Linked DNA regions of Xenopus tropicalis. The protein of the gene in region 2 purifies or fractionates together with the protein of the main gene of each other region. This does not show direct contact. Links are inferred from orthologs where the notes say so. Each region holds a gene or a part of one and is shown on either strand. Other genes may lie near its edges.

What was found.
Region 1: the proteins of snrpf (region 2) and tut1 purify together in Homo sapiens (co-immunoprecipitation; 3 studies listed by BioGRID and IntAct, counting the BioPlex papers as one, with this or other methods). This does not show direct contact. The link is inferred for Xenopus tropicalis from reciprocal best matches to the Homo sapiens genes SNRPF and TUT1.

Annotation. Positions count from the first base shown.
Region 1 is NC_030680.2:36,812,716-36,816,284, forward strand, and holds part of tut1 (speckle targeted PIP5K1A-regulated poly(A) polymerase), read right to left. Parts: intron 2,437-3,569; coding exon 1,277-2,436; 3' UTR 1-1,276. UniProt on the Homo sapiens protein: Poly(A) polymerase that creates the 3'-poly(A) tail of specific pre-mRNAs. Localizes to nuclear speckles together with PIP5K1A and mediates polyadenylation of a select set of mRNAs, such as HMOX1.
Region 2 is NC_030679.2:57,034,407-57,038,750, reverse strand, and holds the start of snrpf (small nuclear ribonucleoprotein F), read right to left. Parts: upstream 2,803-4,344; 5' UTR 2,675-2,802; coding exon 2,672-2,674; intron 1,803-2,671; coding exon 1,677-1,802; intron 682-1,676; coding exon 617-681; intron 1-616. UniProt on the Homo sapiens protein: Plays a role in pre-mRNA splicing as a core component of the spliceosomal U1, U2, U4 and U5 small nuclear ribonucleoproteins (snRNPs), the building blocks of the spliceosome.

The DNA of each region.
Region 1 (3,569 bases), on a different chromosome or scaffold from region 2:
TAACATCCCACGGATTCTGTTAGCAAGCTGAGGATGCTTGTCAGCTCAAAGTGCATTCTTTTACAGTCACTGAGTTGGGCTCATTTATAAACACTGCGCAAATTTGCACCTGGGCAGTAGCCCATAGCAACCAATTAGTAATTAGCTTTTTTCCAGGCAGTGGTAAGTAGAACAATTAAAGCAAACATCTGATTGGTTTCCAGTGGGTTACTGCTTGGGTGCAAATTTGCCCAGTATTTATAAATAACCCCCATGAGTAAACCATTGTGCACTCAGGTGTTTGTAACAAATAAGCTATGGATATAAGCATGGGAATATACAAACTCTCTTCCTTTTAGTTTTCTCCTGGTGGAAAAATGTGATGCTAATCCCATTCCAGAATGTGTAAAGGGTAATTGAACAGAGCTAATTAAAATTATTAAATTAACATTTCTATAATAGTTACTGCTAAAGTTTTGTCTATACCTCTTAGCCCTTACCTTGCAGATCCTATACCTAGATAATTTATTCCTATGTAATGGTCAAAGACAGAAGAGGTACTTTCTGCAGAGGTTGGCTGCAGAGCTGACTAACTAGCTGAGCACTGCAGGAAAAAGGAAATATAAACACTGCACAATGCACCTTACCTTTGCACTTTCTTCTTCCATCCTTAAGGTACCCATACACTAAGATCTGCTCGCTTGGCGATGTCGCCAAGCGAGCGGATCTTTACCCGATATCCCCACCTACGGGTGGGTGATATTGGGTAGCAAGGGACTTAAAAAAAAAAAAAATGATCAGATTGTTTGGCCCTGGGGCCAAACGATCGGATTACATTTGAGCTTATGGGGCAGTCGGTTCGGGGACCGCATCAACGAGCCGATGCGGTCCCCGATCCGACTGGATTTTCTAACCTGGCCGATCGAGATCTGGCCAATTATAAAAGCCATGTGGCAGATAGTTTCACTGTAGGTGGTATGCCCTATGTTACACATCTGTAGAAGCCACTTCCATGTTTGCATCTATCATGCAACTAATTTGCCTGTAGATGAAATAGTAGCTAGCCTATAATATATGCCACCGTAGCTCTTGGCACGCTAGTATGTACATAACCTCTATGTGTATTGACTTGTCAAGGGTCAGTGTTAAGCAGGTACAACTGAAGGACAGATTAAACAAATAAAAATACTAAGATGTAAATGGATATTTACCATTACCCACAGCTTATTATAAGCTAATGCCCAATACAAGTTTCCCCTTAAAACTGTTTTTTTTTTTTTCTCATTATTGAATATCCTTACACTGGGTCCCCACAACCTTGAATTTGTGCCACCATGCGAGGTAGATAACCCTCTAAGAAGTGAAAGAATGTGGAGCTAAGGCCCTGGGGGTCAAATTTTGGTGTCAGATAAAGCTGCAAAGATTCTTTAACAGTCAGTTGAGCTGTAAGTATTAATTTCATCAGCGGCCCATCACATTTGTCCTCTTTTTCCAGAGCCAGTGCTTGAGACACAGCAATCTCCAGCTCTACACCATCGGCTTCCCCTTTCTGCTTGCGCCTCCTTTCCTTGCGCCTGCCTTCCCACACTCGGTGCCACACTAGCAACTCCCATTGTGCAGTGCCATTGTTAGAGTAGTCTATCTTTGTTTTGGAATCTTTATGTGCTTCCCCACACATTTCTTCTTCCATGGCAGATGTAGCTAGGTGATGATCCCAAATGCCTCTAGTAAATTCTAGTCTTCTCTTTTTACCATTGGTCATATCACTCATGCATGGCTCTGTCATTTCTCGTTTTCTCCTGGCTGATTCAGTCATCCCCTCCTCGGTTTTAAAGATGCTTTTTTGCTTGGAAGCTTCTTTAGTATTATTTTGCTCAGCTTTGCATGGCACCTCTTGTTCCCCTAATTCCCCCCCTACTTCATTCTTCTCTACTTTACACTGAGCCTTTGCGTGTTTTGTGCTTAATTCCAAAGCTTTCCCTTCTTGACAGCTGTCTTCTCTGCCTTCTTCCAGTGTACACAACAGTACATCCACAAAGACCTTACTCACAGCTGCATATGTTTTTTCAGGTGAAACACCTCCCAGAGGTATTGAGATTTCAGTTCCTCCTCTCCCAACACACTCTCTCTCAGTGGGTGGAGGTAAGAGAATTGGAGTGATCCCCCATGGATGGGAGGTAGAATGCAAGTTGTAATTGGGGGTACGGCAGATCCTGGCAGCAGCTGCACAGTGAGAGATGAAGCGGCGAGCTGCACGAGAGCTGACATTGCCACAGACATTGTGACTCAGTTCAAATGGATCTTGGATATTGAGTGGTCCCAAACGGAAACCTTCTGACCAGGCAGGTGGTGGAGAGGAGAATGGAAGTGGAATGGTCAAACCATTGCATGGACAGAGGATGAGCAGATGCAGGTCCAAAGAAGCGTAGAAAGAGAAGAACTCGGAGAGAAGAGAACCTAAGGATGAATAAAAGGGATGAGATAAATGATTGCATTATACAGGATTCTGCATATCATAAATCACACATATTGTAACAGATCATGGCATGATCATTTCTACCTGCACTAAATCATGAATACAACATAATTGTAAAATGAGCCTTTTACAGTCCCATTACAGCATTACCTCCTACCACCCGACTTTACACGAAAAGTCTTGTGCTCTGTATTTTGGTCTGATTCTCACACTAAAACCACTTCTGAGAATGGATGCTGTGTTTATCTGCATTTTCTAGACATCTGGTCTCAAGAATCTAGCACATGTAGACTATGTAAATACAATAGCACCAAATAAAGTGACACATACATTACATGCCTTCAACTTGTTTCTCAACACTGCTCTTTTCAATTCATTTTATTTTTCCAGTTCATTCCATGCTCCAGATTTGACTATTCTAATTAACTTGGCTCAACTGAGTCAACAAAGGGTTAACTTAAAGGAACAGTAACACCAAAAAATGAAAGTGTATAAAAATAATTAATATATACTATTGCTCTGCACTGTTAAAAGTTGTGTGTTTTCTTCATAAACACTACTACAGTTTATATAAATACCCTGCTGTGTAGCCATAGGGGGCAGCCATTTAAATTGAAAAAAGGAGAAAAGGCACAGGTTACTAAGCAGATAACAGATAAGTAGATTCCTATTGTATTCTACACAGTTTATCTGTTATCTTCTTATGTAACCTGTGCCTTTTCTCCTTTTTTCAATTTAAATGGCTGCCCCCATGGCTACACAGCAGGGTATTTATATAAACTGTAGTAGTGTTTATGAAGAAAACACACAACTTTTACCAGTGCAGGGCAACAGTACATTATATTTTAATTATTTTAAAACATTTTTATTTTTTAGTGTTACTGTTCCTTTAAGTACACAGAAAGTGCAAAGATATTAGGGTTGCTGACACTCTGAGCCTTTAAAAAGCTGCTGAGCCAAAAGCCGGCCTAGCTGTATAAAATTGTTTAAAACTGCTATTATATTAGAAACCACTTTCAATAGGAAATTAATGCAAATTGGAAAAGTACTCAGAGCACTACTCTTAGAGAAATTCATATTTTTAGGGTTTGTTCCACATTAAGTATATATTATC
Region 2 (4,344 bases):
AAAAAAGGAATACAATAGTTAAACAGTTTAGCAGAGAAAAGGTAGCAGTCACATTGTTTTTCTAGAGAAGGGATACAATTCTTGCTACTAGGTAGTTATCAAGAAAAAAAAGGGCAATCTACTCACGCCTCCTTGGAGGTTGTGCTTTAAAGAGAATATTTAAAAGGACAATTTGTTGCCTTTTTAAATAATTGTTAAATTACACAGTTTAGATAAGAAACTATTTAAAAAGTACATTTTTTTTTTTTACAGAATATACTTTACATTTTTCACTGGTTCACATGTATGTATATATATTTTTATTTATAAAGCGCTACTTATGTACACAGCGCTGTACAGTAGAATACATTAATACAAATAGGGGGTTAATAAGATAATAGATAAATACAAAGTATAACAATAAATACAAATACATACAAGATACAGTTACAGTTGCAATAAGTTAAGAGTCAAAGACACAAGAGGATGGAGGTCCCTGCCCCGTAGAGCTTACAATCTATATGGCACATGCAGTTGCCTTAACATGCTGACAAGAGTTTGCTTTCTATTTCAGAAAAGCAGACATATATGCTGTAATGTGACCACCTACAAAGCATCCCCAGTGCACAATTCTTACCTTATCAAAACTTCTCCAAGATGTCCAGACAATGCACCATCAATATATTCTTCTGTGTTTGCAAGCTGCAATAATATATATAAATGAATTAACCAACAGAAAAAGCTTCTCACACATCACAGCAACCTTGGATAATGGACACTCATTACTTTCTCAACCATCATTACTATAAAAAAAAAAAACTCTGCAATACAGAAATATTAATATTAATTGTTACTTATGTTTTAAAAGCAATTAAGCTGGCTAATTGGTGCTAATGCTACTAGGGTTAGCAATGGTACTATAAAGTGTCACAACACTCTGGCAAGCACTCCAGCTAATTGCATGCAACCTTAAGCAGCACTTAAAGGAACAGTAACACCAAAAAATAAAAGAGCTTTAAAGTAATGAAAATATAATGCACTGTTGCCCTGCACTGGTAAAATTGGTGTGTTTGCTACAGTAACACTACTATAATTTATATAATAAGCTGCTGTGTAGCCACGGGGGCAGCCATTCAAGCTGGAAAAAAGGAGAAAAGGCACAGGTTACATAGCAGATAACAGATAAGTTCTGTAGAGTACAATAGTGTTTTATCTGTTATCTGCTATGTGCCTGTGCCTTTTCTCCTTTGAATGGCTGCCCCCATGGCTACACAGCAGCTTATTTATATAAATTATAGAAGACTTTCTGAAGTAAACACACAACTTTTACCAGTGCAGGGCAGCAGCACATTATATTTTAGTTAGTTTTTTACACTTTAATTTTTTGGTGTTACTGTTCCTTTAATGTATTTCATTGCCAGCAATGGGCTGCTGATGCCCAAAACCATTTTACTTGTGCAATTTCCTAGTGTTAACTAGAGACAGAGGCAATCCAATCCAAATGTCTCATACACTGCTCTAAAATGGCAACAGGAAAGCCCAGATACAATTCTGGCACAATATAAAGGGAATATAATATAAATTATATATACACATGCATACAATATATATTTTTTTTTATTAAATAATCTAATAAATTAACTTATAACAGCAAGTAACCAACTATAATATCTGACATGTTCAGTGCTATTACTTACCTGCATGTTCATGTATCCATCCACTGATACCAAGTAGCCTTTGTACTCCATCCCCCATTTCAGCTTTACCATAACTGGCTTACCAGTGAGGCCATTAAGGAAGGGTTTTGGATTCAGTGGTAAACTCTGAAAATATAATCATTTATAATATAAATATTCAATAGGTCTTGTGATTAAAACGTCAACTCATGCAATAACCTGAAGTAATCATATGCATACATTTTCAATACTATATCTCTGCCTTTATTTGTCCTCAGTTTTCTCATGCTCCCTTCCAAGAAACCAAAAGGGGACACCTGCCTAATAATGATACTTGGGGCACGGCCAGCAACAACAACCACAAATCCATATCTAATAGAAATCATCCTTTCTTTGGTAGGAGGCTATATATTATTACACTACCACAGTAAAATGAAAAAGGGGCATTTATTTATTCTTCCTGATAGTTGAAAGTGCAGTTCAATAGCTGGAGGGCCACAAGGCTGCACATCACTGCTGGCTGAGGGCAGTCACAGTACAAACAGTATAACATGCCATTTGTAGCATTACCACTTGAGATATGATAGGCAGAGGAACACATGGCCTTTAGGAAATTATCAACTCCCATGTGCCACCGCTTTAAGAACAGACGCAAACATCCCATGTTCGCGGCTCATCCCCAGTAGAGATAGTACCATCCCACGCTGCATGGCTACTTATATTTCAGCGCAGCCTACACCGCGCCTTACATACAGGCTCTTTCCGTGCAACGTGCCCTTAGCGAGTACACACGCTGCAAAGATAACACGTTACGCCTTTCCACACAGGCCTAACAATAAAGCAACCAAACAAACCCGAACCAACTGCATAACCCATTCTGTAAATCCGGCGGGATAAGCTGCTACTCGGGATAATGAACAGCCCCACACACCATGCTGCCTGCACTCCCCCCCATCCCTACACACTGACACCCCCTGTCCCGCCAGGCCTGGAACTCGCACACCTCCAGTACTTACCATGGTGCGACCGCAGCCTCACAACAAACTGCAGATCAATAAAAAAAATTCCTCCCCGGAGCGTCCCGTAGAACACACCGCTGGAGCAAAGCGGGAAATGGCTGCCAAGGCCCGGAAGCGACAGGAGAAAAGACCATAGAGAGCCGACACGCGTTGAATGGCTAACTGCTCCCTCTAGTGGCTGGAGTTGGATTTCCAACATGACTCCAACAATCGCCAGTGGAGGCGGGATTATTTCACAATGGTGTTGTATTGTACAAGGCTCACCCTCTGTGCTGACTCCGGGCCGCCTCAGTACTACTAGTACTACAGGGCCTTCCCCCAGGAACCGCAATTAGGCATTTCTAATAAATGCAAGTTGCTATACTGCGCTGACTGCAATTACAACAAATACAAACATTGCGTCCCGTCTATTTGTATTTCGTACCTTGTTTTGATTATTTGTTAACGCTATGTAATTATATTCACTATTATGCACAACAGTCCAGATTTAGAAGCCTTGATTTTCCGAGGACTTGGTGGCACTTGGAGGGTAAAATTAGAATGGGTAAAGGAATACTGTCATGAGAAAAGGTTTTTTTTCAAAATGCATCGGTTAATAGAACTTCAACAGGTTTTTTTTTATATTTAATTTTAAAAGTTCACATGGGGCTAGCCATATTCTTCATATCCCAGGGTGCTACAGCCATGTGACTGATAAACTTCAGTCACACTTTACTGCTGCGCTGCAAGTTGGAGTGATATCACCCAGGAGTACCTGATTCCACAGGTAGAAAGAAAACCATGATAGTTTTCTCTGTGCTCTTTAGCACATTTGTCTCCCAATGTAATGCAAGCTGTCCCCCTTTATACCAGAATCTGTGCGCTTTTTACAAAGAAAGAAAAAGTGAGAGAGGGGTTGCATTACACTGTGACCCTAAGTGGGTTGCATACCCCCCAACTGTCCCGCTTTTCGCAGGACAGTCCCGGTTTTTACAGCGCATCCCGCTGTCCCGGATTGTTCAATGAATGTCCCGCATTACGGAAATGCAGAACATTCATTAAACTATCCAGGCCAGCGGGATGCGCTGACTGCAGCCAGCACTCCGGCTCCGTCTCGTCCTGTGGCTCCTGCTTCTTATTCGGCTCCTCGTACGGCGGCGACAGGCCCTTTTATAAGGTTGCGCCCATGCGTACGTGTGATGTCACACGTACGCACGGGGCGCAACCTTATAAAAGGTCCTGTCGCCGCCGTAGAAGGAGCCGCATAAGGAGCAGGAGCCACAAGAAGCAGCGTCAATGGGGGGCACTGTGTATGGGGGGCATTTTCTATTGGAGGTACTCTCTATGGGGGCAATTGGGGGCTACTGTGTATGGGGGGTGTTTTCTATTGGGGGTACTCTCTATGGGAGCAATTGGGGGTACTCTCTATGGGGGCAATTTTCTATTGGGGGTACTCTCTATGGGGCAATTGGGGGCTACTGTGTATGGGGACATTTTCTATTGGGGGTACTCTCCATGGGGGCAATTGGGGGCTACTGTGTATGGGGGGCTACTGTGTATGGGAGGATACTGTATGGGGGGCTACTGTGTATGGGAGGAAATGTGTATGGGGGCAATTGGGGACACTTTCTGTGGGGGCATTGTGTATGGAGGGTACTTTCTATGAGGGCACGGTCTATGGGGGCGTATGG